7 linked regions of the Tribolium castaneum genome follow. The protein of the gene in region 1 purifies or fractionates together with the protein of each later gene. This does not show direct contact. Links are inferred from orthologs where the notes say so. Each region holds a gene or a part of one and is shown in the gene's direction. Other genes may lie near its edges. The genes, in order: Prp4k, Usp39, 116 kDa U5 small nuclear ribonucleoprotein component, U4-U6-60K, Prp31, RnpS1 and Prp8.

The links.
Region 2: the proteins of Prp4k (region 1) and Usp39 purify together in Homo sapiens (affinity purification with mass spectrometry; 3 studies listed by BioGRID and IntAct, with this or other methods). This does not show direct contact. The link is inferred for Tribolium castaneum from reciprocal best matches to the Homo sapiens genes PRP4K and USP39.
Region 3: the proteins of Prp4k (region 1) and 116 kDa U5 small nuclear ribonucleoprotein component purify together in Homo sapiens (affinity purification with mass spectrometry; 3 studies listed by BioGRID and IntAct, with this or other methods). This does not show direct contact. The link is inferred for Tribolium castaneum from reciprocal best matches to the Homo sapiens genes PRP4K and EFTUD2.
Region 4: the proteins of Prp4k (region 1) and U4-U6-60K purify together in Homo sapiens (affinity purification with mass spectrometry; 3 studies listed by BioGRID and IntAct, with this or other methods). This does not show direct contact. The link is inferred for Tribolium castaneum from reciprocal best matches to the Homo sapiens genes PRP4K and PRPF4.
Region 5: the proteins of Prp4k (region 1) and Prp31 purify together in Homo sapiens (affinity purification with mass spectrometry; 3 studies listed by BioGRID and IntAct, with this or other methods). This does not show direct contact. The link is inferred for Tribolium castaneum from reciprocal best matches to the Homo sapiens genes PRP4K and PRPF31.
Region 6: the proteins of Prp4k (region 1) and RnpS1 purify together in Homo sapiens (co-immunoprecipitation; 4 studies listed by BioGRID and IntAct, with this or other methods). This does not show direct contact. The link is inferred for Tribolium castaneum from reciprocal best matches to the Homo sapiens genes PRP4K and RNPS1.
Region 7: the proteins of Prp4k (region 1) and Prp8 purify together in Homo sapiens (affinity purification with mass spectrometry; 4 studies listed by BioGRID and IntAct, with this or other methods). This does not show direct contact. The link is inferred for Tribolium castaneum from reciprocal best matches to the Homo sapiens genes PRP4K and PRPF8.

Annotation. Positions count from the first base shown.
Region 1 is NC_087394.1:6,850,075-6,853,283, reverse strand, and holds the end of Prp4k (serine/threonine-protein kinase PRP4 homolog), read left to right. Parts: coding exon 1-73; intron 74-2,241; coding exon 2,242-2,445; 3' UTR 2,446-2,635; downstream 2,636-3,209. Other genes in the region: ppl (glycine cleavage system H protein, mitochondrial), read left to right, coding at 3,102-3,120. UniProt on the Homo sapiens protein: Serine/threonine kinase involved in spliceosomal assembly as well as mitosis and signaling regulation. Connects chromatin mediated regulation of transcription and pre-mRNA splicing.
Region 2 is NC_087394.1:36,569,843-36,574,315, reverse strand, and holds Usp39 (ubiquitin carboxyl-terminal hydrolase 39), read left to right. Parts: upstream 1-1,645; 5' UTR 1,646-1,789; coding exon 1,790-1,865; intron 1,866-1,912; coding exon 1,913-1,951; intron 1,952-2,002; coding exon 2,003-2,263; intron 2,264-2,573; exon of another isoform or gene 2,574-2,817; intron 2,818-3,278; coding exon 3,279-4,408; 3' UTR 4,409-4,438; downstream 4,439-4,473. Other genes in the region: facilitated trehalose transporter Tret1, read left to right, coding at 249-1,618.
Region 3 is NC_087401.1:10,799,886-10,804,067, forward strand, and holds the start of 116 kDa U5 small nuclear ribonucleoprotein component, read left to right. Parts: upstream 1-1,319; 5' UTR 1,320-1,666; coding exon 1,667-1,783; intron 1,784-1,830; coding exon 1,831-2,051; intron 2,052-2,101; coding exon 2,102-2,370; intron 2,371-4,182. UniProt on the Homo sapiens protein: Required for pre-mRNA splicing as component of the spliceosome, including pre-catalytic, catalytic and post-catalytic spliceosomal complexes. Component of the U5 snRNP and the U4/U6-U5 tri-snRNP complex, a building block of the spliceosome.
Region 4 is NC_087397.1:1,345,382-1,349,534, forward strand, and holds the start of U4-U6-60K (U4/U6 small nuclear ribonucleoprotein Prp4), read left to right. Parts: upstream 1-1,238; 5' UTR 1,239-1,379; intron 1,380-1,439; 5' UTR 1,440-1,443; coding exon 1,444-1,612; intron 1,613-2,753; coding exon 2,754-3,291; intron 3,292-3,338; coding exon 3,339-3,737; intron 3,738-3,783; coding exon 3,784-4,153. Other genes in the region: zinc finger protein 131, read right to left, coding at 59-346. UniProt on the Homo sapiens protein: Plays a role in pre-mRNA splicing as component of the U4/U6-U5 tri-snRNP complex that is involved in spliceosome assembly, and as component of the precatalytic spliceosome (spliceosome B complex).
Region 5 is NC_087395.1:18,107,209-18,111,654, forward strand, and holds the start of Prp31 (U4/U6 small nuclear ribonucleoprotein Prp31), read left to right. Parts: upstream 1-1,585; 5' UTR 1,586-1,680; coding exon 1,681-2,017; intron 2,018-2,070; coding exon 2,071-2,894; intron 2,895-4,446. UniProt on the Homo sapiens protein: Involved in pre-mRNA splicing as component of the spliceosome. Required for the assembly of the U4/U5/U6 tri-snRNP complex, one of the building blocks of the spliceosome.
Region 6 is NC_087399.1:5,873,429-5,877,006, forward strand, and holds RnpS1 (RNA-binding protein with serine-rich domain 1), read left to right. Parts: upstream 1-1,511; 5' UTR 1,512-1,668; coding exon 1,669-1,670; intron 1,671-1,900; coding exon 1,901-2,014; intron 2,015-2,064; coding exon 2,065-2,884; 3' UTR 2,885-2,962; downstream 2,963-3,578. Other genes in the region: fl(2)d (pre-mRNA-splicing regulator female-lethal(2)D), read left to right, coding at 413-1,066; ankyrin-3, read left to right, coding at 3,105-3,155, 3,202-3,329, 3,380-3,578. UniProt on the Homo sapiens protein: Part of pre- and post-splicing multiprotein mRNP complexes. Auxiliary component of the splicing-dependent multiprotein exon junction complex (EJC) deposited at splice junction on mRNAs.
Region 7 is NC_087394.1:7,721,943-7,726,283, reverse strand, and holds the start of Prp8 (pre-mRNA-processing-splicing factor 8), read left to right. Parts: upstream 1-1,493; 5' UTR 1,494-1,652; intron 1,653-1,891; 5' UTR 1,892-1,892; coding exon 1,893-2,251; intron 2,252-4,341. UniProt on the Homo sapiens protein: Plays a role in pre-mRNA splicing as core component of precatalytic, catalytic and postcatalytic spliceosomal complexes, both of the predominant U2-type spliceosome and the minor U12-type spliceosome.

The DNA of each region.
Region 1 (3,209 bases):
GGCATTTAGGGATCAACATTTCGACAGTAACTGCAATTTTCTCTACCATGAGATAGATCGAGTTACTGAACGGGTAAGCAAAATAAAATAACCTTAATAATAAAACAATAAATGGCTTTTATTAAGTAATATTATTAAAAAAAGATTTCCCTTATTAAAATATGTTAAAATCATAAGTAAAAGTTGGAGATATTACTAATTTTTAAAGAAAATAAGCATGAAAAATAATATAATATAAGTTGTACCGATTTTGTATCTTTTAGTAAACTGTATCGCTCTGTAGCTGACACCTTGTAATTTGATAAAATACCAATAACCCTTCAGTTTATTTGTACATAAAAAGTTAAAAATACAACAAAAACGTTTCAAAATCGACATTATCTTAAATTTTGTTAGGGATTTCTTCGAAAAAAAAGTTGGGACACGTTTTTCTGAGACAAAAGCAAAATATAATACCAGGATTTGATTTAATATCATTAGCTCTTATGTACTGATGTACAAATAATTTTTTAAAGTATTTGTGAATAAAGTGTTGCTTGGAACCCTGGAAAAATCTTTTCAAAAATGACAAAATTGTCTTTTTGTTTTGGCAAAAAACTCTTGATTGAACTTTTGCCGAACATTGTATATTAATAAAAAAAAAGGAATGTAACACAACAAAAAAAAAGAAAGAATAAAGGACAATCTTAAACATAGAAAACAATACCACAATGAGGAGGGGCAATGTAACTTACACTTATTCCACTTTACCTCCCCAAAATTATAATTATGTTAGTTATTAAAAAATGTCAAATGAAAAAGAAATTGGATAATTAATATAACTAATAACAATTGGCAAAAACAGCAAAAAAATTAAAAATAGAATTAAAAAAAGATTTTTCACAAATCAACTAATTCAAACAAATTATGGATAAAAAATTCTTATTTTTTATTTTATTTATTTATTTCGTATTTCTTAACTGTGACCACTTACTTTTGAGAAATAAATATGTCTTTAAAAATTACTGAAACTAATACTAACTACACAGAAACTAGCGTTTTCTATTAAATATTTTGTTTTTATTTATGCATGTGAATTGTTTCATAGTTTTTCTGTAGTCTTAAGAAGCAAAATGTTGCTTAAAAAGGTTTTGTAGCTTGTCAGTTAATCAGCAATTAATTAATTAATTCCTACATGCAAACCTCGAATTCTATTACGATTAAATGTCAGCTCGTTTTATATGAGTTCAAATGAGTTATACAATGGATAAACTTAATTTATTATATTTTTTTATAGCTACCAACAACTTTCTTTACTGAATTTCTGCACAAAACAAGATAAAAATATCGTTTGTTTTAGAATGTCATTAGAAAGTACGCTAAAAGGCGTGGAATTTTAGCAATTTAGCTTACATTATTCTACGCGAACTGTATAAAAAAAATTAAATACGGTCAGTGGTTTATTTAATTCAGAAAAAAAACCGAAACCTGAAAAAAAGTGGCGATTTAGAGTCGTTTTAAATTTAAGTAACATTTTTGAAAGTTATTTACAGAATACATTCTTCTACTCGGGTAGTAGGAGAGTCTTTAAATGCGATCAGTACCTACTTGAAAACTGAAAAAGGTGTTTTTTAACATTATTTTCCATCAGCAATGAGTGTTAAAAAGAAAATAAAATACCTTTGGCCCTGTAGTAGAAATAAACAAATTAGCATTTCCAATGATTTATATAAATAAGAAATTAGTTTAGCGCGGAAGATTCTCCCCTTTAATATTAATTATTTCATTTCAATTATCAGCGACTGTATAATCATTTTGAAAAAAAAATGTACTTCTAAAGTTGGTTTTCCCGGTGTTTAGGCTTTTTCTAGAATGAAATTTAGTGAGACAAATAACATTCGAATAGTTTATCAATTTTCAACCAACCAAATTCTTTATTTTTTTCTGATAGATGATCATGTTTTTTTTAAGCCAAAAATAAATGGCAACTATTGTTTTGTAATTTTTGCATTTCATTATGTAATGATAATTAGATAATAAACCCAAAATTTTTAAACTTTGTTTCACAAAGTGTTTTACGAAGTTTAAAATTTAAGATATTATTAGTTGGATTATAAGTTTGATGGCAACATCATATTTTCTTAACAGTTGTCATATAATTATTAAAACTTAAATTTTATTGCACTATTTTGATTACTTTTTTTAATTTTAAGTATAACAATTTTTAATCGCCGATTGATAGACGTGTCGTATTTTTTTCAGGAAAAAGTGGTGGTGATGTCCGTTGTTAAAGTGACTCGCGACCTCCAATCCGAGCTGGTGGCAGGTCAGGCTTTGCCCCCGGACCAGCTGCGAAAAGTGACCCAACTGAAGGATATGTTAGAGAAGGCATTGACTATAGATCCTGCCAAAAGGATCAGCTTGAATAATGCGTTAACACATCCGTTTATTCAGGACAAGATTTGAGGGTTGGTCTAGTGAGGTAACCGGACACCGCGAGTAATTTTAATTTTTTTGTTTGTTATTATTTTTCTTTGAATTCTTTAAAAGTCTTGTACTAGACTTATATTTTATTAAAACAAACTGTAGATTAACAATGTTGTACACGAAAATTCATATTGTGGAGTATTTATAAAGTAATAAAATATTGATAAAAGTTTGTCATTTTTGTTACAGAAGTGTGGCGAAATGAGTGTTTGGATAGGAGGTCTTGGTGTAAAGTTCGATAAGGTATTTGGCCTGCGACTGTTATAAAAATTGTGCTCACAATTTTTTCAAAAAATACATTTTGATTTGTAATTTTTTCATCAAAATCAGAATGTATTTTACTGACTTGACCTTTGTTTTCGCAATGACTTTGCTTAAACAGGGGTGAACAAATTGCTGAATATTTCTTTAAAATAAAACTGCGAAACCCAAACTTTGTGGTAAATTTTCTTTTCATTTTCAGCTGAATGGGCTTAAGAAATTGGAAGTGAAATCCAGAGAAGGGTTTAACGGTTTGCCAGAATCGCCTTAAAGGTTAAGGTTAAGATCCAATCAACTTACGATTTTTTGACTAACATATTTTTCTTAAGTTATAGTTAAAATTGTATTGGTTAGAAAAATAGAGCATCGGTTAAATGGAAGCAGTTGTGACAGGTAAGTACGAAAAATTCCGACGGCAAAATTATTAAGTACAAAAGAAATCGTGACCTGGATTTTATTGATTTTTAAATCAGTTACCATAT
Region 2 (4,473 bases), about 30 Mb from region 1:
TAGCCAAAACAAGTTCAAACCCAACGAAAGCATGGCACGACGAAAAGATAACTCGTTTAGTTTTTTATCCAACTTGTTTATGATTACTGATTGATTGTGTAATTGAATACGCCGGTCATCATTCCATTCGTCAACAAAAGAACATCTGGTTGAACCTTCGCTTCTACCTGAACCAGAAACCCCTAAAAACTTAACGACCTGAATCCAATCCTTACAAAATCGAGAAACTCACTTTCGCTTCCTCGCAGGCACTTTGGCCATCGTCACCGACGGCATGATCTACGGCTGGTCGTCCCCCAGCCTCCCCCAGCTCAAAAACAACGAGACTTGCACCTTGTGCATTGACGAAAACCAGGGCTCCAACCTGGCCGTCATGCCCCTGGTGGGGGCGGTCATCGGCTCGCTCACCGCCGCCACCATCGTCGACATCCTGGGCCGCAAACGCACCATCCTTGCCACCGCCGTCCCCTTCTTCCTCTCCTGGATAATGGTGGCTTTCGCCCCCAGCATCGTCCTCCTCTACATCGCGCGTTTAATCGCCGGCATCGCCGACGGCGTCACCTTCACCGTCGTCCCCATGTACATCGGCGAGATCGCCGACCCCCAGGTGCGAGGGATGCTCGGCTCCAGCTGCTCCGTGACCTGGATCGCCGGTTTTCTCATCATAAATGTGATAGGGTCGTACCTTAGTATTAAAACCACGGCACTTGTGTCCTCAATTGTGCCGGCAATCCTATTTATTACATTCTTGTGGATGCCGGAAAGTCCGTACTATTTGTTAATGCGTGGGAGGGCGGACGAGGCCCGGAAATCACTAGAACGCCTCAAAAAACGCGAAAATGTCTCCGGGGATTTGAACCGAATCCGGAACGCAATCCAGGCTGAGGAAAAGTCGCACAATGGGAAATTCGTCGACTTGTTCCGGGTGAAGAGCAACCGGAAGGCCGTTTTCATCATCGGGGGGCTCCGGGGCTTCCAGCAATTGGCGGGGACCACGGCTATTGCCTTCTACACCCATGAGATTTTCCAAACTGCTGGGGACCACATTTCCGCACATTACGCTGTGATGATTTACTACTCCATCCAGTTGCTCCTCACAATGTTCTCCTCGAGTATTGTGGATAAGGCCGGTCGAAGACCACTGTTGATCATCTCAATGGCGGGGTCGGCGTTAGCCCTTTTTGTCGAAGGGACCTATTTTTATCTTTTGAACGAAACGGACATTGATACGAGCTCATTTTCGATCGTGGCCGTTGTGGGGCTTCTAGCTTTTGTGATAATTTTCAGTTTAGGGATGCAGTCAATCCCGATTTGTATGTTAGGGGAGTTGTTTCCCACAAATGTGAAAGCTTTTGCGCTTTGTTTGGCCGATGTTTACTTCAGTGTGATGGCCACAGTGGCCTCCAAGTACTTACAAATAACTAAAGTAGAATACGGACTACATGTCTCGTTTTACGGTTTCGGGATTTGTTCGCTACTTGGACTAGTTTTTATTTATTTCTTTGTGCCTGAAACGAAAGGAAAAACCCTCGAAGACATCCAGAAAAAACTGAGAGGGGAAGTCGAAGTTTGTGATGAACGAGGCGCCGAAGAAGAGAAAGTTAGTCTCAAAGCGTAATTTTATTGAATAAAGTACTTATTTTTTTACAATTTCGAATTTTATTGCATAACCAGATTGACATTATTATTGACACCGTTGACAGTAAATATAACCTTAAAGTTGCAAACACCACACAAAAACAGTCCTAGCGTGATTTAATCAAAAATTAATTAAAAAAGCGTGAATACGATGGAAGCGGACGATGAACCTGCCATGAAAAAGCCCAAGTTCGAGGAGCCCCAAGCCAAATCAAACTCCTCACAACGTAAGTACACATAACCTCGAAAACGCAACTGAAACGTTCAATTTTAGCCGAAATTGAGCCCCCTTCTGACAATTCGGACCGGAAAGGTACAAAAATCAATCGATTAAAGCGCCCTGTTCTATTATTGTCTATTCCAGGTGGGAAGCCCCAAACGCATCGACTGTGCCCCTATTTGGACACAATCAACCGGCAATATCTCGACTTTGATTTCGAAAAATTGTGCTCAGTGTCGTTGACTCGCATCAACGTTTATGCCTGTCTTGTTTGCGGAAAATATTTCCAAGGTAGAGGCACAAACACACATGCTTATACGCATTCGGTGGCCGAAGGCCACCACGTTTTCCTCAACTTGCACACCTTGAAGTTTTACTGCTTGCCCGACAATTATGAAATAATAGGTAATAAATACTCTCAATTGTAGTTTTGAAATTAAGTTGGCAACATTTTTCTTCAAATTTCAACAATTTTACCCAACTCACTTGATTCGAGCTGAAGTTTTACACCGAATTAGATTAAATCGTTTCAATAACGCGAATGTTTGAGAGGGCGCAATGCCAGTAACGCCCCCCTTCAAAAATAAAGTGAAATCTTCGTTTTGTCGCATTTTTCCGATTGGCATTTTATTGAATATCGTTTTGTATGCGTTTTCAACCGAAACTAACTCGAATTAAACCGAGTAATCGTGGAAAAAATACAAAAATGACTAACCTTAGCGTCGTCTAACTGAATTTTTTCAAAACCGGCTTCCAGCTTGCTGCTAACACACTTTGATAGTCTACACACGTCACATTTCCGATAAAAAGTCGATTTGAGTCGTTTTTGCCACTTAACACGCACAAAACACCGGTTTTTCAACACGCAAAAGCAAAAGGACGCGCACTTCGGCAGACAAGCTTCACTCTAACGCTGATGTCACGCCAACGGCACCTCATTGGCTGATTTGAAAATGACACTTGAGCGCGCGTGATTTGAAATTCGCGCGAAGTCTTCAATTGGGAGACTTTTTACAAAGATTAGGATTTATACGTTTTTACAATGTCATAATTCACGAATTTTGTAAAATAAATGCCTGTTTAGCTCAAAAACATGCATAATGGCTTAAAAAAAAAGGAAAAATGAGATAATTTGTGGCCTGATTTGGTAATTTTGCGGCTTGTTTGGCATTTCTGCCTGAAATAACAAGTTGGGATCTTCGGAAAAGACAAACATTATGTAATTATTGAATCCGTTTGGTGGTTTTTCGGTTAATTTTTGTGTTTTTTGTCTATTTTCGATAATCGTGTTGTCAATTTCTGAATTGAAAAAAGCAAATACTAGGAAATGTTCGGGGAAGTATTCGGTTTCAGTAATCAGTGTTGCCACTTAATTTCAAGCTCCAACGATTTTTTTCTAACAAAATTAAATTACTCACAGATTCGTCCCTCGACGACATTAAATACCTGCTCAACCCCACATTTACCGAACAACACATCAGTACATTGGACGTTAGCACAAAAATGTCCCGAGCAATTGATGGCCTACTTTACATGCCAGGAATCGTCGGTTTAAACAACATAAAAGCGAACGATTACTGTAATGTTGTTTTACAAGCCCTTTCACGTGTTGTCCCTTTACGTAATTACTTCCTCCGTGAGGAGAACTACAGCAAGATAAAACGCCCCCCAGGTGACTCCTCTTACCTCCTGGTGCAACGTTACGGTGAACTGATGCGTAAATTATGGAACCCCCGAAATTTCAAAGCCCACGTTTCGCCGCACGAAATGCTCCAAGCTGTGGTTTTGTGGAGCAAAAAGCGCTTCCAAATTACGGCACAAGGCGACCCCATTGATTTCCTTTCGTGGTTTTTGAACGCACTTCATCGGGCACTTAACGGCAATAAAAAGAAAAACAGTTCCATCATTTACCAGTCATTCCTCGGAAACATGAAAATTTACACCAGGAAAATACCACCGACCGAGCTTGACGACAGACAGAAACGCATGCTTTTGTCAACTCCAGAGTACCAGGAGATCATCACCGAGTCACCCTTCTTGTACCTCACCTGCGACTTGCCTCCACCGCCTCTCTTCATCGACGAGTTCCGGGAGAATATCATCCCCCAGGTGAACTTGTACCAGCTCCTCACCAAGTTCAACGGACAGACCGAGAAGGAGTACAAGACTTACAAGGAGAATTTCCTCAAGAAGTTTGAGATTACGCGTTTGCCGCCTTATTTAATCTTGTATATTAAGAGGTTTACGAAGAACACGTTCTACGTGGAGAAGAATCCAACCATTGTGAATTTTCCGGTTAGGAATGTTGATTTTGGCGAGTTTTTGACGCCCGAAGTTAAGGCCAAACATAAACATACGGTCTATGATCTAGTGGCGAATATTGTGCATGATGGAGAGCCGGGGAAAGGCACTTACAGGGTTCATATTTTGCAAAAATCAACGGGCAAGTGGTACGAGATGCAGGACTTGCATGTGACGGATATTTTGCCGCAGATGATTACGCTGACGGAGGCTTATATACAAATTTATGAGCTAAGATTAGAAAAGTAATTTTTTACGAATAAAATTCTATCACCGGAATTTTTGTCTTTTATTTGTCCCTCCCTGATTTTTTT
Region 3 (4,182 bases), on another chromosome or scaffold:
GCCGCCGCTGTCTCGCACACTCAAACCCGTCTTCTTATCTCACTTCACCCTCTAATCTCCGCTCTAATCTCCGACACGATTAAAAAAAGATGACCTAAACGCCACCAACACTTCATCTCACTCTCCCAGCCTCGGCACCCAATTAAAACAAGTGGGGGGAGTGGGAGTGCCCCCAATAAAACAATCAAATCAACAAATAACAATCGACTTTATCTCCTGCCAACTTGATTACATTGTGACATTTCGTAATGATTGCAACTCGCGTCCACGACCTACTTGACCGTCGAACAAAACAAAACACCATCACATCGTCTGCTTAAAATATTCTACATAAATATTAAACAGTTTAGTTCCACATTGTGCTATATATAGACCTCGAAATCGTCACAAACGTCACACGAGTGCGAGAGAGACGCCAACTGTGACGTGGCATCACGGCCAACTTCAATGATTCACACATAATCACATAAACTCGATTTTAGCCGGGAATTGTCGAAAGTGCTTGTGCGGCGTTGCCACATCGCACAAAACTGGGAAAAAAACGCCACAATCGGGCACAACCACCACAATTTGCGACCCGATCAAGGCGGCCGCGACTAACAAACGACAGTCAATTAACAACAATATTAAACAATTAAAACGCCTCCTAAAAACAGAAATTTTACCACAAATAAAACGTCCTTTTTGTGCCAAAGCCGCCTCTGATGTTAATTTCCCGACACGGCCCTTAATTTGCCCTTAAAAAAATAGGTTAGTTTGTTTAAAAGTCACCGACCTGCCTATTTCAGGCGCGGCCAATCGGAGCCAAGCCGGGCCGAACGGTGTGACACCGGCCACGCCCCCACGCTAAGCGCGACCAATCACGCCGTGGTAACTCTCAAACGGGGGGAACCCCGACCAATGGTGACAAAAGGGGCGTCAGTAACGGTTTAGGAGGTTTTGTTGCTTTTTCCATACCTCCTCAGTCCTCATACTATTATTATTACAACCTTGAATTTGATAGTGTTGTTATGGTAACAATAAGACGGTAGTTGGCCTCGGGTGAACTTGACCCCGCCATTGCCGGTAAATGGAAAAACTAGTGACAATTACGTCACGTCTAAGCAGGCCATGGACCCCGACAAGGTGAACAAAAGACAAACGATTGGCCATAAAACGAACAATAACGAACGTCTTGTTCTGTAAACTGAAGCAAAGCGGCTTATAAATAGATAAGAGGCCCCCTTGCTCCATTTGTCTATTTTTAGGCCCAAAATCAATATTTGCCGATTGGGCGCCATCTAGCGGAACGGTTGACCAACTTGGTAATAATTCCTGTCAATTAATTGATGTGATACTGTTATCAATTAAACCAAACGTCGCGACTAACAATTTGGTTGTGATTGTTTCAATTAATTAATAAAATTGGCTTGAATTATGTAGTGAGTCCAGGGAGTTTATTTTTTGTGGCCGCATGGTTGGTAACTCCCGGCAACAACAACCTAACCTGTGACTCGTTTGTTAACGTTTTGCAACGTTTTTTCACAAAAATCGTGCAAAAAGTGGCAAATTTGTCCCAAAAACCACTCGAATCATCGTTTTTTGTGCTCCGGTCGTGTGGATTTTACCGTTTTTGCTGTTTTTTGGGGTTATGTCGAGTCGTGTTTAGGGCCCCAAAAGCCAGAACATGGACGCGGATTTGTACGACGAGTTCGGTAATTACATCGGGCCTGAGCTGGACAGCGATGACGACGAGGACGAGGAGCCCGAGCCCCAGGAAGACGAGGAGCAGCAAGACTACGATGTGAGTGTCTCGAGGTCCCCAGAAGCCCCCTTATTGTCCCCTTTCAGGACGAGCAAATGGACGAGAGTGAGCCCCAACCCATGGCCATTGTCTTGCACGAGGACAAGCAATACTACCCGTCTGCTTTACAAGTCTATGGGCCTGATGTGGAGACTATTGTGCAAGAGGAGGACGCGCAGCCCCTTGACGTGCCTTTGATCGAACCGGTGAAGAAAAAGAAGTTTCAGTTGAAGGAGCAGGATTTGCCCGATACGACGTACAATATGGAGTAATTATTTGGGTGAAAGTAGGGGTAAAAATAATTTCACTTTTTGGTAGGTTTTTGGCCGATATGATGGACAATACGTCGCTGATACGTAACGTGGCCTTGATTGGGCACTTACATCATGGTAAAACCACGTTTGTTGATTGTTTGATTCGGCAAACGCATCCAGGGTATCAGGACTATGAAGAGAAAAATTTGAGATATACCGACACTTTGTTCACGGAGCAGGAAAGGGGCTGCTCGATCAAGTCGATCCCAATTACGCTACTTTTGCAGGACGTTAAGAACAAGAGTTACCTAATGAACATTTTTGACACTCCTGGTAATAACTCAATAATTAATCCTCCTTTAGACGCGATGTTTCGGCAAAAATTCGTCGACAAATCACCAGATTACGTAAAAAGTGTGGCGATTTTTGCATTTCTCAAACGCACACTTCTGAAGTGACGACCAGCAAATCATGAAAAGTGGTTGAAAATAATGCTGTTTTGCCTTTTTTGTAACATTTTAGATTATTTTTTCAGACAGAAAAACAACTATATTTTGATTTCATATTTTTTTGAGTAAAAATTTAGTGTTTCTCCGAGATTTCGATTCGAGTAGTTTGAGAAATCACTAAATAAAGTCAAAAAGATGTAACTTTTGCCTGATTCGAGAATTTTAGGGCATTTTTTAAAGCTAGAAACGCTATTTATTTCATAAGGTTTTCTCAAAAATTACAAAAAAATACGTAAAATACAGCAGTTTTTTGGGGTTTAAGCGCGTTTTTGTGCTAAAAACTCAATCTTCTTACGAGATTTCCCTAGAACTAGAATAGAAAATGACTAAATTGGGTCGAAAAATACACAATTTTTGGTATTTTTGCGAGTATTAGGACGATTTTAATCCAACGAGATTATTTCACTAAGTTGTTAAATAAGTAAAACATTTTTTGCTAAAACTGTGTTGAAAAATCAAATTTTTTTTTGCAGCACGTTTCTCAAAGGTATTTCGTTAAAAAAGAAGTAGCAAATGAAATAAAAAAATTAACTTTTTGAGCGTTTAAGTGCATTTTGACAAAACTTTACTATTTTACACTGTAAAGACTTTCTTTTTATTGCCGGTTTTTATGTAAATTATAGATGTGTTCTTATTAGTATTTACATTTTTCTAAGATTTTATGAAAAACACACAACAAAAATATTTACGCTTCTTTTAGATTGTTTTAGCAACGAGTAAACTAGTTTTCAACCAGCAAAGCAATTGTCTCCTAAATTTATAGCGCAATAAACCCAAAAATTGGGCCGAAAATAAAATTGTTTTGGCAAGTTTTTCAGCCAGAAATAATACGTTGTTCAAAATTTAGAAGTAATAGAGTTTTTTTTTACCTTTTAAAAAAGTGTGTGCGCGTTTTTGGCCCAAAAATGTAATAATTTCTCAAAAAAATCAGTCAGGTGGGGTCAGTATATAGATAAGCACATTTACAAATTTAAAAAGTTTTTCTTGACCACTTACGTGTGTTTGGGTTAGAACACCTTTTGTTAAAACCAGATCAAAATTTTCATCATCAAGGTGTTAATTTGCTAAATCCCACCAAGAAAACACAAAATAAGTTAAAATAATAGCTTATATTTTGCATTTTTTGAGCGTGTAACTTTAAATAAACAAATCACTAAACTTGACCTATTGAAAATTAATAATTTCTGTTCAAAATTTCGTGAAATCAGGTCGAATATAACATTAGTTTTACTGTCTTCTGGTGCTTTAGCATCTTTTATTGTTCAAAATGTTATTATTGTGTGAAATATCTCAAAAATAAACATGAAAAATAATTAATTTGTATCAAAAATCAAGGTATTTTTTGCGTATTTCTAGCTTTTTAATCCAGAAACGCAATTATTTAGCCAAGTTTGATTCGAAAATCACTAAGACTGTGTTGAAAAATTTTTTGCGTTTTCGGAAGTTATAGCACGTTTCTCAACATTATTTCAGGAAAATTTGTCAAAAAAATTGTGTGATTGATTGTTTGAGTACTTATATAAAAACAATTCTTTTATAATAATGATAAAACACTAAATTAGATCCATACAAATTATTTATGCTTTTTTGAGGTATTAAAATGGTTGTTTTTTTAACCAACAGGGTAATTAGTTCT
Region 4 (4,153 bases), on another chromosome or scaffold:
AGTTTCTCATGGGGTCATGAAAAATTGAAGGGTTTTGCTTTTTTTAAAGGGGGCTTACGTGGTCGACGTTGATCTCTCCTTTGTACATGAACTCGACCAAGCACTTAATATCTACATATTTGACATCTTTCATGATGAGGATGGGGTCTTTTTCTTCGTACTGGGACAGGATGGTTTCGAAGTAGGTGCTGCAGGCGGAGAGGACGATCTTGTGGGCCTTGATGGTGCGCCCCTCGCAGGCCAAGGTGACGTCGCAGAAGGCCTCCTTCTCGAGGAGCTGCGAGAACATGGTCTGCAAGTTCGAATGGTGGTACCTCCATCTTAGACAATACTGTTGAGGCAGCATTTTTGGTTATGTTCGTCCAGCTTCCTTCCGACTGTTCGCGTTGGAGATGACGAATTTACCAAAAAGTAATGAGTCACCAGCGTGAGACCTTCGAAATAATCAATACTCGTCGGTTTTGGGGCCTTTGGGCGAGCGTTTGTTTTTTAAATCACCACCACTTCACTGGCACGGCACAACGCATCCGCAAGTCGACTGTTTTTGCGAGGTTTAACAATACAAAGTCCGGCCGAGGATTTCTCAAAAATTTGGAGACGCGTATGTAAATGTTCAGTCATTTGGAAAATTCCGACAAAAAATGTGTCCCTTAGTTTTTTATGAGTCAGTGAGCCAATAGAAACCACGTAAGACCCCTATAAACCATGTATAGTCCGTATATTCGCCGGGCCAAGCCTTTAAGGCAAATCAATACCGCACGTCTTAAAAAATTCTCGCGTAAAAAATCTTGGGAATTGTCGAGGTTTTTCGTCACACACAAATATTTGTCGAGAGCAACGGCTTTTCAGCCTAACTAACGGCACCAAACTCGACTAACGCAGATCCAAAACGGGGTCAAAAATTAAACCGACACAGACTCGGACTGTACTGTAATTAGGCCTTTCATATTTATTTTTATAAACTTGAGATTTTTCAGAGCCTGGGAAAGAAAGAGAAAATCTATCAACTGTTCAAGTTCAACGATCGGTCGTCGCGCCGATTTCGCACAAATTCACCGATTCTTTCACGATTTTCGCACACAAAACACCAGCACGGACATTGCACGGCTATTTAGGCGGTTTCCGCGGCACAACATCGTACATTTACTAAGATTTCCGGACCGAACTTGATAATCTCTCTCTCTCATGGAATTTTTTGGAAAAAAATTTAGACAGAGATAGCAAAACGCTATGTAAAGAAAACAGAAATATTTCTTTTGTGGAAGAAATCGTAAAAACTTGCCGTTGGCTACACTGAACTCACCAGGCGGTTTTGGTTACTTTTTTTGCGACAAATGTCAACTTGACGTTACGTTTTGAACCGATAGCAGTGATAACATGTAAACAAACGTTTTTTACGAATTAACTTGCACAAATACTCATTTTTGCTCAATTTTTAGCACCATGTCCGACGATGAGGACGCGCCTTACGTGAAAAAAACCAAAAATATTCACTACGGCTCGTTGGAGGAAGCGGAAAGAGCTAGGTTAGCAGCCGGCGATGGGAACGATGATAGCAATGAAAAGGCCGAAAGCACGTCGGCGAACCCGCCACAGGTTCACATTTCCACAGGTATTACTTTGGCATCCGTAATTTCGTCCAAATGCCAAAACCTCGCACACAAATGAGCTAAAGCTCAAGTCAACATCAGTTTAATGTAGCGCTAAAATATTCACGAAAAATCTAGTACAAGTGGTACATTATATATTTCTTATTCCTTAATGGAGCCTCGTGGCTCAAAACCCAGGTTCTGTTTTTTGTAATTTCTGTAAAACCAAATTTTGAGTCATGGAATCAAAGTTTTTTATTAGAATACTTAAAATCTTATTATTTATTTATTTATACAGGGTGAGTCAGTCATGAGTTAGTTCTGAAATCTGATGCAACCAGTAAAACTAATTCCACCTGTCCAGTTGTATTCCATTTTTTGAGTATATTGTTAACTTTATCTTAACAGTTTTGCCACTGATTTTGCTAAAACTCCTTTATGAACTACTATTTTTTCAAAAATAAAAAACCGAGTAATTTACCCTGGTATCTTTATTACATGAGAGTATTAAGAGTAAAATTTATCGTTGTAACTGATCGTTTAAATGAATTTCATCGTAATTTATCTCAAAAAAAGCTGGTAAGCAGAAGGTTAAAGTCTCAACATTGTAGCCAATATTTTCTCCAAATTCTTGTGATAAATTTTTTGCCAGTCGACATTTAGTGACATTTGAAGCGCTCAAGAGTGGCTTATTAACGGCCCAGTCAATAACTAGGTTCACATATTGACTCGAGTTGCTTTGTCATGCGAAATAATATGATTACAGATTTTTAAAAAAATATAAAACCTGAGTGATTCAGGAAAAAATCAGGTTTAATACAGCGATTAACTTGCACTTTGGCTTTGAAACTGACAGCCGCGGTGTTATTAAATCAAATGCTTTATTGCGCTATTAAATAAATAATTCGTATTAGAACTCCTTTAATGCCATAAATGCACAATAATATTAAATTGAAAAAAGTTGTGCCATAGGCCCCAGCTTTATATAATTTTTGCTTTTTAAAAAGAACAGTTTGTAGGTGTACCTACGAATGGTAAATAAAAAAAATGTTTATATAACAGCAATTATCACACAATTATTAAAAATGCGTGCTTAGGTGCCTGTTTTTATGTTAAAATCTTTCACTTGAATCTAATAAATACTGTTACGTTTAATTTATTCAGAATACATGGAGCTTGAGGACGCCATGTCCCGCGACAAGCAAGCCCTCTTGGAGGAATTCGAGCGTCGTCGTAAAGCGCGCTCTATTAACGTCTCCACCGATGACGCCGAAGTGAAACGAAACCTTCGCCAATTGGGAGAACCGATCTGTCTATTCGGGGAAGGACCGGCAGATCGGCGTTCACGCCTCCGTGAAATACTAAGTCGTATCGGTGAAGACGCAGTCATTCGACGCGAAGCCGAAGAAGAACGTAAAAATTTCGAAAAAGATCTCGAAACAACGTGGTATCATGAAGGCCCCGAAAGTTTGCGAATAGCCAGATTATGGATAGCGCACTATTCACTGCCGCGGGCCAAAGCCCGGCTTGAGGAAGCCAGAAAAGCGAAGGATTTATCAACGGCTACTAGAACAGCCAAGAAGCAGGAAATACAGAAAAAACTCCAGATTATGTCGATTTATTCGAGTCAGATTGGCGATTCGAGACCTATTGCCTATTGCCAGTTTAGTCCAGATTCGAAACTTTTAGCCACAGCTGGATGGTAATTATCATTTAATAAGTGAAATGAAATTATTTGTTTGATTCAAGGAGCGGGTTGTGTAAAGTGTGGTCAGTGCCCGACTGCACACTCAAACAGACCCTGAAAGGTCACGCCTGTAATGCCAGTGCTATTATTTTCCACCCTAGAGCAACAATCAGCCAGGAGGAAAATATTTGCAATATGGCATCGTGTGCAGCCGATGGTTCAGTAAAATTGTGGGATTTTCAAAGCGAGGAACCGATCGCTGATATCGAGGGCCATATGCCACATCGTGTCTCCCGGTTGGGCTTTCATCCCTCTGGAAGGTTTCTCGGGACTTGTTGCTTTGACTGTTCCTGGAGATTGTGGGATTTGCAGCAATGCACCGAAGTTTTACACCAGGAAGGACACGTCAAACCTGTCTATTGTATTTCCTTCCAGATTGATGGATCGGTCTGTGCCACAGGGTAAATACTTTTGGTAAATTGTGACAAATAATTAATTTCCCAACAGTGGTTTAGACTCATTTGGACGTGTGTGGGACTTGAGGACCGGAAGATGCATCATGTTCATGGAGAGTCACTTAAAGGCGGTTCTAGGGATAGATTTTTCCCCTGATGGCTACCACATTGCCACGTCTAGCGAAGACAACACTTGCAAAATTTGGGATTTGCGCAAACGTTCCGTCTTGTACACAATCCCAGCTCATACGAATTTAATTTCGGAGGTGAAGTTTCAAAGGGACGGCGGCGATTACCTAATTACTTCATCGTACGATAACACGGCGAAATTGTGGACAAATCGGACCTGGCAACCGTTGAAGACCCTGTCAGGTCACGACGGTAAAATCATGTCAGTTGACATCTCCCCCGATAATCAGTAC
Region 5 (4,446 bases), on another chromosome or scaffold:
TGGTATTGGTATTTTGTTCATTTACTCAGGGCCGCCACGAGAAGTGCTATTTTATTTGTTATCTGTTCATAAAAGGTATATATTAGCTATTTCAAAATTATAAAAACGCCAACGTCGCATTTTCTCTCAAAATTATAACTAATGTAATTTATACTTTCAATGAGAGATCGAATCGTTAATAACTATTTTACATTTCTATACTTATTCAAATTAAGAAGTAATAGAGATTTGTGGTGATTGTGATTAACTGATTACTGACTAGGTTCAATAAATAAAGGAACAAATATTTATTTATTAGAAGAATTTTAAGTTTGACATAAAATGTATGTATTAAAATGACATAATAAACATTTTCGTATATCCCAAAACCTGAAGAGTTTTTTAAAAAACTGTACTTTTTTAACCCAAATTTACAAATTGTGTAACTATACTGTAACTTTATATTCAAACAAATTAATACTGTGTGATTTTCTAAAATATTGGTCTAGTTATCCGTGACAGTTACGTTAACCCGATCTCCATTACGGAAATAAGATTCCAACATATTTTTTTTGGTTCTTCGGTGAACATTTTAGACATATTGACAAATAAAGCGATGCTAAAGTTATTTATGCAAAATGTTTCATTGATGACGTATCTGTCATGGATAACTAGATCAGAATTTTAAAAAGTCGGTTGGTAGTTTATTATAATAAGATAACAGATAAATTGCTTCGATTTGAAGCATTGAACTATCGTAGATGCCAAATAATTTTTAATTTTAAAAATGATCGCTTCCCTGTTGAATAGAAAACGGGTAATGAATAGGAATTAAATTATTTATTAAAAGATTTTCTAATATATTTTGTGGGTTTTTGCAATTATTTTCTAAAAAATGAATCTTAAAGCGTTAATTCCGTTAAATAAATCGGAAACCATTTTTAAGCTTTACGTGTAAGTCTTTACAATTTTTTGCTGTCTAAATCTTCTTAAAAAATTGAAGTTATTCACAAATACAAATGCATCGTTTTTAAAAAGAAGACACAACTTGATCCAAAATTTAATAAGAAAGTAAATTTTTTAAATATTTCTGTCATCTACCACAACTTCGTTAAGATGAATATAAGGTGTTCGTTTGTAGTCAAAAAGTTTTATTTCTTTTCTTCGGCATACAGTTTTATTCAATCCGGTTTTATTAAAATTAGTTGGTGCTTTGGCGTCCTCTGACTCCTTTTTATTTTTATTTGTATGCTTTTTTCCATTTATTTTTGTTTATTTTTAAAAACAACTATCTTAATATTCTAATTTAAAATGGTATTTAAAAGAGCTTTTGGCGAAGCAAGTTTGCTCTTATGTTCTTATAGTTATAGTTTTTACCAAAAAGTTGACTAAAATAAAAAAAAAGTTTTTTTTATTTAAATAACATGGCTTGAAACTACAATAACAACTGTTTTTTTAGTGATATATGTGTCCGGAAAAGTACTCTTTCACGGACTATATTCCGTCCCTTCACTAATTAATAATTATATTGTTTTTTTTCATTATCCCCAAATTAATAAGCAGATTATTATAGACAACCAGTAATTCAGCCCCACATTACAAGTAATCTATGGACACTTGTCAATTTGTAAACTGCATTTTTCTAACCTCACTTCCAAGTGTTGTGTGAACGTTTTGGAGTTACGTTTTTAACTCGCTAAAATGTCTTTGGCCGACGAATTATTGGCTGATTTGGAAGAAAACGATCAAGATGATTTGGAAGAAGCGATGGAAGTTGATGAAAAACCGGACATCAAAGAAGAAAAACCCGACGTTAAAGACATCCAGTTAGAGGTAGACACAACTCAAATAACTTCAGTCCGAGAGTTGTGTAAATTACGGGACTCGCCCCATTTACATGAAATATTGAAACAAATCGAAGACCATGTGAAGAAGAGCCGAAAATACCACGACATCATAGGACCAGTTGAGTTGGACCCTGAGTATCAACTGATCGTCGAAGCTAACAACATTGCTGCAGATATAGACGCGGAAATTGGTAAGAGTTACGATTTTAACCAAATCAGTTGAAACTAATCTGTTTTATTGAAGCCACTGTCCATAAATTTGTGCGCGACAAGTACCAGAAGCGGTTCCCCGAGTTGGACTCCCTTGTTGTTGGTCCTTTGGAGTACTTGAAGACCGTCAAAGAGCTCGGGAATGACTTAGACCAAGCCAAAAATAATGAAATTTTGCAACAATTCCTAACGCAGGCAACTATCATGGTTGTCTCAGTCACGGCATCCACGACACAGGGGATTCTCCTAACGGACGTCGAAAAGAAACAAATCGACGAAGCTTGCGACATGGCCATAGACTTGAACAACTTCAAACTGAAAATTTACGAATACGTTGAGAGTCGGATGGCTTTCATCGCCCCCAACTTGTCGGCGATTCTTGGGGCTTCGATCGCCGCCAAGCTCATGGGGGTTGCCGGGGGTTTGACCCGATTGTCCAAAATTCCGGCCTGTAACGTGCAATTGTTGGGCCAACAGAAGAAGGCATTGTCTGGATTTTCACAAGTGAATATGTTGCCGCACACTGGTTTCGTTTATTACGCAGATATCGTGCAAAATACTCCGCCTGATTTGAGAAGGAAGGCTGCCAGACTTGTTGCCACTAAATGCACGCTAGCAGCACGTGTGGACTCGTGTCATGAGAGTAAAGACGGACGTATTGGGCGGCAATTACGCGACGAAATTGAACGAAAACTGGACAAGTTGTTGGAACCACCCCCAGTTAAGTTTATCAAGCCGCTGCCGAAACCTATCGACCAGTCCAAGAAGAAAAGGGGCGGGAAAAGAGTCCGCAAAATGAAAGAGAGATATGCGATGACTGAGTTCAGGAAACATGCCAATAGAATGAACTTCGCTGATGTAAGTTTGGTTTTTCTTGTATTAAATTTTTCTAGTATTGAAAATATTTCTTACATTGAAAATTACACAATATTGTTAGCCAATCTACTGTTGAAGCAGCATTATAGTTTCATTAGATTTTGATAACATACTAGAGATCACAATCTTCTTTGCAAAAAGTTTTCTATGGGTTTGATGAAAATGCAGTTTTATTATTCTCTTGATACTTACAAGACCGGTATCAATAAGTTGTAACGAATAAGCGAAACACATAACTTCAGGTGTACCCCAGTGCTCAGTTTTGGGCCCAATCCTTTTTTTAATTGGGGTGTTCGATGTTTTAACGAAATAACTCCAGTTTTAGTCTTTTTGAGAAAAATATAGAAACGTATGCTATAAAATTTTCTCTTTCAAATGCAATAACTGGTTTTGTAATCGATTGATTTATTTTAATGTCATTAAACAGTAACAGTTGTTATAACACCGAAAATTTGTGGACATTTATTCAGTGCAATAATGAGATAAGTCCATCAATCGTTTTTTTACTAGTCTAGTGATTATTGTTAAATATAATGTATTAAAGCTTCCGTATTATAACTTATGTCAAAATAAGTTTAAAAAAAATAGAGACAAAAATGCAGTAGTAACATTGAATTGAGTTAAATTTTCACGGGTTTTTAAAAACCAAACGGCTTTCAATTTGAAAAAAAAGCGGTTTCGTCTGTAATTCTGTACTGCATTCCTCCTCTTCGCGTTTTATACTAATTTTTATTTATTTATTTTTCAAACAAAATCGATTACCATGATACTGAATGGAATCAAATAAACAATGATCTAAAAAGAATAGCCAAACATTGCAGTAATGTTAACTTAAAACTCAATGAAAATAAATATTCAGTCTTATACTTTGCATCTAAAAGTTGTAAATATTTTGAAGAATAATATATTAATATTTATATTATTAGTAATAAATTAAACGTTCTTGCAAAAAGAAAATCTCTAGGACTTACATTGACAGTGGAAAACACATTATTCATTATCAAAAAATGGTTCATCTCCTTGAAACTCTTACGTTCTAATTATCACATTCAGATTTCAAATTGAGAAATAAACTTATTGAAACTTTGGTAATTCTCCTTTATCTATTATTGCTTTATAATCTTATCCTTGTTTAAATGATGTTGATAGTTGAAAATAGATTATACAAAATTCAAAATATAATGTTATATATACAAAATTCAAAATATAATGTTATATTTTGAATTTTGTATCTTTGGCTTAAAAAAAATGTGATTACATTTCTAAGGTCGAGTTGTATCATCTTTAGTCCTGATTTAAATCCCTAACAATTATTCTCATAACAATGGCTATGGGTTTAATCCTGAAATTTTTTATACAACTCGACCTAAGTGTGTTTCTGACTTAATGTTGGAACTTCGGGATAAGATACTTGAGACTTCTAATAAAAGTATATTTAATATGAAAGTAAATCGAAATACAAAATGACGGAATTGATAAAAATATACACGGCACACTCTTATAAACAAAACTGTGGTTCACACGGAAACGAAAC
Region 6 (3,578 bases), on another chromosome or scaffold:
TTACATTGCCAATCCGTAAATAACTTTCAGCAGCTGTGATGTAATTTATTGTAAATATGTATTGAATTAGCTTATTGTCATTCTAAATTTACCGCTTTGTAGATTAAATCAGATTATATGAAATTTTTATCTAATTTTTTAATAAGCACAAACCTGAACTAATCTACGAAGCGAATTTTGTCATGAATCATTTTTCAATTTTTCATAAAATTGTGCGTTTGTACTAGTTTTAATAAAATCACCAGAAACGTTATGTTGAATAAAATGGTTAACATTACTTGTATATTTTATTAACGAAATGTCGGGGACGTAGACACCTTGTTATTGTAAGACCGCTGTGTAAACCCACTCCGAAAAATGGGCGCCCTTGCGATATTTTTTGTGTCAATATTAAAGAGTATTTTTGCTGCAGTGCCAATTGAACGAGCTGAAAAGTGCCCAAGCCCCCTCGGCCCTCCGTTCAACCCTGCTCGATCCTGCCGTGAACTGCATCCTTCAGCAGCTAAAAACCGAGCTCCAATCGACCCGTTCCGAGCTTGAGGACACCAAGAACGAGCTAACGGCGTGGAAATTCACCCCCGACTCGAACACGGGCAAACGCCTGATGGCGAAATGCCGCCTCCTGTACCAGGAGAACGAGGAACTCGGCAAAATCACGAGCTCGGGCCGCATCGCGAAGCTCGAGAGCGACCTGGCGCTGCAGAAGAGCTTCTCCGAGGAGGTCAGACAGAGCCAGAACGAGCTGGACGCGTTCCTGGCCGACCTGGACGAGGACGTCGAGGGCATGCAGAGCACGATCCTGTTCCTCCAGACGGAGCTGCGCAAGACGAAAGAGAGCGCCCAAGTGCTGCAGAAGGAGAACAGTACGCTCAAGCTGGCCAATGGGCGGTCGAACGGTGACAGTGTGTGTGAACAGGAACGGACGGACTCGGACTCCGAGGCGGAGAGGACTACTTGTGTGAAACGCGTGCGAAGGTCGTCCGTCCTCAGTATCGACTATAACGAGGACGACGCCCTCGTCATCAGCACGAACGGTGACGTCGCGATGGCCTCCGACCCAGAATAGTGAGCTGAGATTAACCCAACTATTACGCATATAAACTGACGAACAGTATATTCAATTGTACATAGAAATATACTAGCCTAATGTGGTTGTTTCGAATTGTGACTTCAATCATTACTAAATTGTGTTGATCACTGCGGTGCAGTTGCAGAATTTTTTCTATTAGTTTTGGCAACAATGCAATATTTTATTACTTTCCCCCATTCAAGGTGTTATCAAGGTGCGCTTTTTTATCCATTGTTCGCATTTTATTCATTCGACCGACTCTGTTTTAAATTTGTCAGATTGTATCATTTTTTAACGTTTTTATGTTGAAAGTTGTATTTATAAAATAAAACAAAAATTATATCACTTATTATTGACCACGGTGTTTTACTTGTAGCTGCGGGGGTGCAAAATTCAATCTCCCACCGTTGGTGTAGCAGTTACAAACTTAAAGTCACCAGAACAGCGCTACCAACATCAAGTGGTCGTAGTAGCGTCGTTTTGCTAATTTTCCACAATTACACAGTTTTTCATGTAGTTTTCATACTTCCGCGTTAATACAGTGAAAGGTTTTAGTTCTAAACTTGTCCCGACTTTACAGGAATCAAGAATAGTCAGAAATGTGAGTATTTACGTTTTGAGGTTATGTTTGTAGTCCGGGAGGGCTTTCCACGATTTCCTTGTAGTTTTAGCACATTTTAACTCCCATGCATCACTTGTGTTTGCTCGATTTGCTTCCTTCAAGGTTCTTCAAGATCAAGATAATTTGTATTACAACAACTGACTTGTTTGTTCACTCCCGGACACCATTACTTTTTACAAATTTTTTGAGTTGGTTTTTATTGTTCTTAGGGCAAAAATAGGTTCTGATACGGAAAAGGACGACAAGGATAAGAAGAAAGAACGTGGTAGGGACCGTAAACGGAAGAGTGAGTCTGGTTCAAGCAGCAGCGATAGCAGCAGAAGGTAACACCCGAGTTTGAAGAGTTTGTAATCACCTAAAACACTTGATTTAGTTCTTCCGACAGTAGCTCGTCCAGCTCGCGCTCTTCGAGCAGTTCCAGTTCGGGCAGCAGTTCCCGCTCGAGCAGTTCCTCCTCGGAGTCCTCAAGCTCAAGCAGCGATAAAGACCGCAGTCGCCCCAAACGCCGTTCGCGCTCCACCAGCAAACCCACCCGACGCAGCAAAGAGCGCAAAGACAAAGACAAGGAAAAGGAGAAGGAAAAAGATGTCAAAAAGGACGATAAAGACGAGGTCAAAGACAAAGACGTCAACAATCGCAAATCCCCAGCGAAAGACGACAAAAACCACACCCGTGGCAAGTCTCGTTCGCGCTCGCGCTCAGACCGGCGCAAAAGGCGTCGCAGGTCCCCCACGCCACGCCCCACGAAAATCCACATTGGGCGTTTAACACGCACCATCAACAGGGAGCACATTATGGAGATTTTCGGGACGTATGGACCAATCAAACATGTGGATTTCCCCAAAGACCACATCCACCCACACTTGGGGCGGGGCTTCTGCTACGTGGAGTTCACCAATGCGGACGATGCCGAAAACGCGATGAAACACATGGATGGGGGGCAAATTGATGGACAGGAGATCACGGCGGCTCCGGTGCTTGTACCCAAGCCGAGACCGCCCCCCATGAGGCGCAGCCCCATGCCGATGCATATGAGGAGGCCTCCGCCCCACAGACGCACCCCGCCCAGATTCCGGAGGCGGAGCCCCATGCGACCGATGAGGAGGAGCCCGCCGAGGAGGCGCCCCCATTCCAGGAGCCCCCCGCCCAGGCGCAGGAAGCACAGCCGCTCCAGTTCGAGCAGTTCCAGATGATTTTTTCGATTTTAATTTTTTAAGGTATTGTAATGCGTGAAAAGGAATAAAACCGGAATTAAGGTATTGATAATCAAAGATTGATAAATGATAAAATTATTATTTTGTCATATTGGTATTACCACGTATTGCCTATCACATAACCTAGCTTTCTTCAAATAATTGTTACAAATGAAATTGATGGAAAATTGATGAAGATGACTCGTAAATCGTTTAAGTGATGTCTGTCTCACATAATTGTGATGAAAACCGCCGAAATCTCTTATCTGAAGTAATAATTTATTTTGACATAACCTCAAATTTAGCCTTTGCTCCAGGTTGAATCAGCAATATCTAACAATGACCTTGCCACCCTCAAGCAGCTTTTACCGCACCCTTTTGACCAAACCACCCTTCAGGACGAAAACGGCAACAACCCTCTGCACTTATCCATAATTTACGAAAAGTATGATCCCCCCTAACGTTCAGTAAATCCCTACCAAGTCCTGGTTTCAGGAACGCAATTTTTGACTACTTGCTTGATAAATTCGACTTGGAGGCGCAAAACCACTCCGGACACACAGCCCTATCCCTGTCCCTGCTCTACCACAGCGACATTTTCATAATCGAGTACTTTGCCCTGGAACTGATCCGCAAGGGGGCCAACATTGAGGTAGTTTTTAGCGATAATAACACAGTACTGCACTTGGCCCTC
Region 7 (4,341 bases), about 870 kb from region 1:
GAATTGGATATTTTGTGTTACGAGAAAGTAGTATGATTTTAATATTAGCCAGAGAATGCTTTAAAAAATTTATAAACTATCTAATTGTTTTATCATTTAAGTAAATTAGTCAAGATTCCTGGCTAGTTTGTTGCTTGTAAACGAGCCGCTATTTTAGTTGAAACTGAGGTTTGCCTAGTTTACAAACTAGGTAAGTTTACACATTAGGCGTAATATGTCTACAGCTTCAAAATTTTGACAATGTTTTTGGGTGACAATGAAACTCTTCTAGTTTATAACCCCACCGAAAATTGTTTTCACTATTTTCAAACACGTTTTTTATAGCAACGTGTTGTAAATTAAAATGTTTCAACAAAAAAAAATTAAAAGTTTTCGGGTATCTAGGTATGTAACTCGCATACGCTCGTTGCATAACAACAGTTCTCGAATTTTAAGTTTGTGTTTTTGCACTCGTATTATATTAATAAATATAATAATTTGTTAATCATGTTAATAACGAATGACAAAGACACCGTAAAAAAGATTGAATCAAAACTTTTGAAAAATTAAAAATGACACAGATTGTTTTATTTTTGCACTGATTACTGTCAGTTTCTCTTATTGTAGCCAGCAGTAATCGGCTAACATACTATTTTTATCCCAAAAACTTTGGTAAACTTTTTTTCATAAGACTTTAAATCTCGACGAAAACGTTTACCATTTGATCGCTTAAGTTTCCTGGGTTTTATTAGGATTATTTAAAAAAAAAAAAAAACAAAAGTTGTTTGGACTTAGTCTACAATAACTTGACGAAAATTTAAAGCAAATAAAATGTTTCACAATTAGTTTATCTCACAAACAACGAATGCTAAACTTGACAACTTGACCGATTTATAAAGCGTTATTAACTTAATTCGTAATTAAATGCGTGATTAACTGATCACGTGACCAAAGTGAAGCAATTTGGTTGGTCCATTTGCGTTGTTAACTTTTAACAACGCAATTAACTTTAATTGAGCTTTCTGTAAACCGGCTCTTAGTGAGTATATTAAAAAACTAGACGTGATAGACAAACGTGAGATATCTTTTAGTTATCAGTGAGTATGCAGAAAACAAAACCAGTATAAATTATCTCTTGATAAAATAAAAATAATTGTAAACTAGTGTAATTCTTTTATTCTTCTTGTTTTAATTACTAGTAATTATCATTGTTTATCTTATTTTTACTTCAAGAATGCTTTAAACGGAATAAGTGGTTCAGGCGTAAACTTATGTTTAAACACCTTGTATTTAATATTTGTACCACGATTTTTTTTACAAGGCAGAATTTAAAAATGTGCAAACGTAAGCTAATATGCGAAGGCAAAAACACTTTGCTTTCGCTAGACGCTAATTATTTATCTACATCAGTGGTCCTCGTATAAGCATTATAGGCCACCAACAAAACACGATTGCTTAGAATTTAAAGTTGACAACCACTGCTCTGTTTTAGTGGATTTAGTGTTCTTTGTAATTGTGAGATTGGTATTGATAATCGTAAATATGGCGCTTGCAGGTGATGTGTGCGAATGAGAAAATGAACGCCGCATCAAAACGTAAAGTGAACGTTTTAGATGCATTTAAGCACTAAAACAGTAAAATTATCAATTTTGTTCAAGTTTTAAAAGGACAAGGTGAGTTTAAACCAATTTAAGTTAGATAATTCACTTATTTCGTTATTTGTGTACAGAAGCGGTTAGTACAAAAAGTGCGTTTCCTTTCCTTGTAAAAACTACCGTAACAACGTTCCACCTAAAAACGATTACAATTTAACTTCGTTTTTACGAATTGTTACCATTTACATTACTAAAATCACCGCAACTTATTATCCTGTATTAACACATGGTTATGCTTGGTTTTATATTACTTTCAGAATGTCGCTGCCCCCGTATCTTTTGGGGCCGAACCCATGGGCCACCATGATGGCCCAGCAGCACCTGGCTGCAGCCCATGCCCAGGCCCAGGCCGCTGCAGCTCAGGCCCATGCTCATGCTTTACAACAACAAATACCGCCCCCACATCCAAAGTCGGATGTGATGACTGAAGAAAAACTCCAGGAAAAAGCCCAAAAGTGGCATCAACTTCAGTCGAAACGATTTGCCGATAAACGAAAACTTGGCTTCGTTGATGCCCAGAAGGAGGATATGCCGCCTGAGCACATTCGGAAGATTATTAGGGATCATGGGGACATGAGCAGTCGTAAATATCGACACGATAAACGCGTTTATTTGGGGTAAAATTTCACTTTTTTTGTCAACGTATTCAAATATTAAACGTATTAAATATCTGCTTGAATGTTTGCTTCAGTGATAGCTTGTTGATCACTGATAACAACGTTGTTTTTGTGCAAATTGAATGTTAATTAATTCTTTTCCGGTTTTCGGAAAACGGTAAAAACACTTTTTTGTATTATATTTTGATCAATTATGAAATTAAAATTTTGGGGCTTATTTCGAAAATTTTTTATCAAAAATTTTGATTCTTAAAATCATTTCTCAAGTTTAAAAAGTAAATGTGGAGGGTTAATTCATTTTCAAAACTGTTGCTATTTGGAAGGACGACTGTACAAAGAAAATGAAAATATTTTAAGAATGCAAGCTGCTAATAATGAGGTAGTAAAGTTTAGAAAAAGCGGGCGATAAATAAATCTTTTTATGATGAAATTATTGATTTAAGGCGAGATTTGCTTATACTGTATCATAAAATGTTTGGTTAGTATATAGAATAGATAAATATTTAGTAAAGCTCGTAAAAACTTTGAAAGAAATGTAGATTTGGAACAAGTAAAATTTGAAATATGTTTACTGACATTTTTAGGGAAAAACAGTAAACGCTCAAAACATAATATGAATAATTGCAATATTATTGGGAAACACAAAATTATTTTCATCTAAGATCGTATCGAATAAGATGCGGATTATCTGCTTTCAGCAAACACATTTGCAAATTAGAGAAATAAAGACAGAATATTTAATAAATTTACAAAACAAAAACGAGAGCAAAATTTGGAATTTACAAAAAAAATTAGCAAATGACAAACACATTTATAGTGGTTCAGATTGATTTAAACATTACAGTGATTTTTTTAAAACGAGCCAAATTTTGAGAAGAAATTTTTTGTTGAAAGGGCATACATTGTAGTGTACTTATTTGAAATACAAAGTACTCTAAATATTCTAAATAGCGTGGTCCTAAAGATATGTTCATTGATTGTCATTTCTCTCTATGCAGTATCCAAAGCGTTTTTTAAGCTCTTGCCGTCTAATTTTGCTTTTAGAAATTTTTCTAATTTTATTGGTAATTTCTTGTTTTAAATTATCTAACTTTTTTGGTAGTGTTTTAAAGATTATAAAGTGAATTGAAGATCCATCATTAATGTGCAAGGTATATTTGAAAGAGTTAACGAAAAATGTCTACTTGCACGTCCAAGTTGGATTTTCATTAACCCTTTTAAAGATTATGTTTTAAGATTGTCAAATCTTACATTAAATGACAAAACTATCTTAAAAAAAATTGGTTAATTCAGGAAATAAGAAAAAAATACGAAGCCTGAAAATGGACAATTTTCATTGATAGAGGGACATTTTTTCTCGCTTTTTGTAAATTTGTAGCACTTATAAATCCCTTTGTAATATAGATCATTTTTGAAAATTTTAAATAGTACCACTCTCTTGTAAAACCTACAAATGAACAGTTAACTGCATAAACTGTTTAAAAATGTTTGGGATATTGGTGTTTTAATATACACTGCTCCACAACAGTTATAAAGTTCTAATTATTTTTACATTAAACAAATTCTATCAATTTTCGGGCATTAGAAGCTAATAATAACAAATCAGAAAATAAAGTATTTGCTTTTAATTTCATTCTTGTTATCAGTTGAATTTTTCTAAAATTCAGTATTATTCTTAACTTTTTTCAGTCAAGTTTATTGGAATGAATTTACAAATTCAGTTCTAGTTCTCTATGCAAGATAGTAGTTCTGAAAATTAAATTAAAAAAAAACCTGAAAAAATTCTTAGTAATGCCACCAAACATGCACTAGATTTTTAAATGCCTCTTCTATTTTCTAAGATATTTATGAAAAAATCACTGTATTTATTTAAAGTTTTTTTTTTTAAACGTGACTTTTTTACAACTTATTTCATTTCTATAATATTACGTTATCGCTGACTTCTGACTTTTTTTGTATTGTGAACTACTCAGGCTTTTTCTACCATTTTTCTTCGTAAATTTTCTATAATATGAATTGAAACTACAACTAAAAACTCCGTAAAACTTAAAACAATTAAGAAGTACAGTAGTAAAAAAATACGAAAAAAA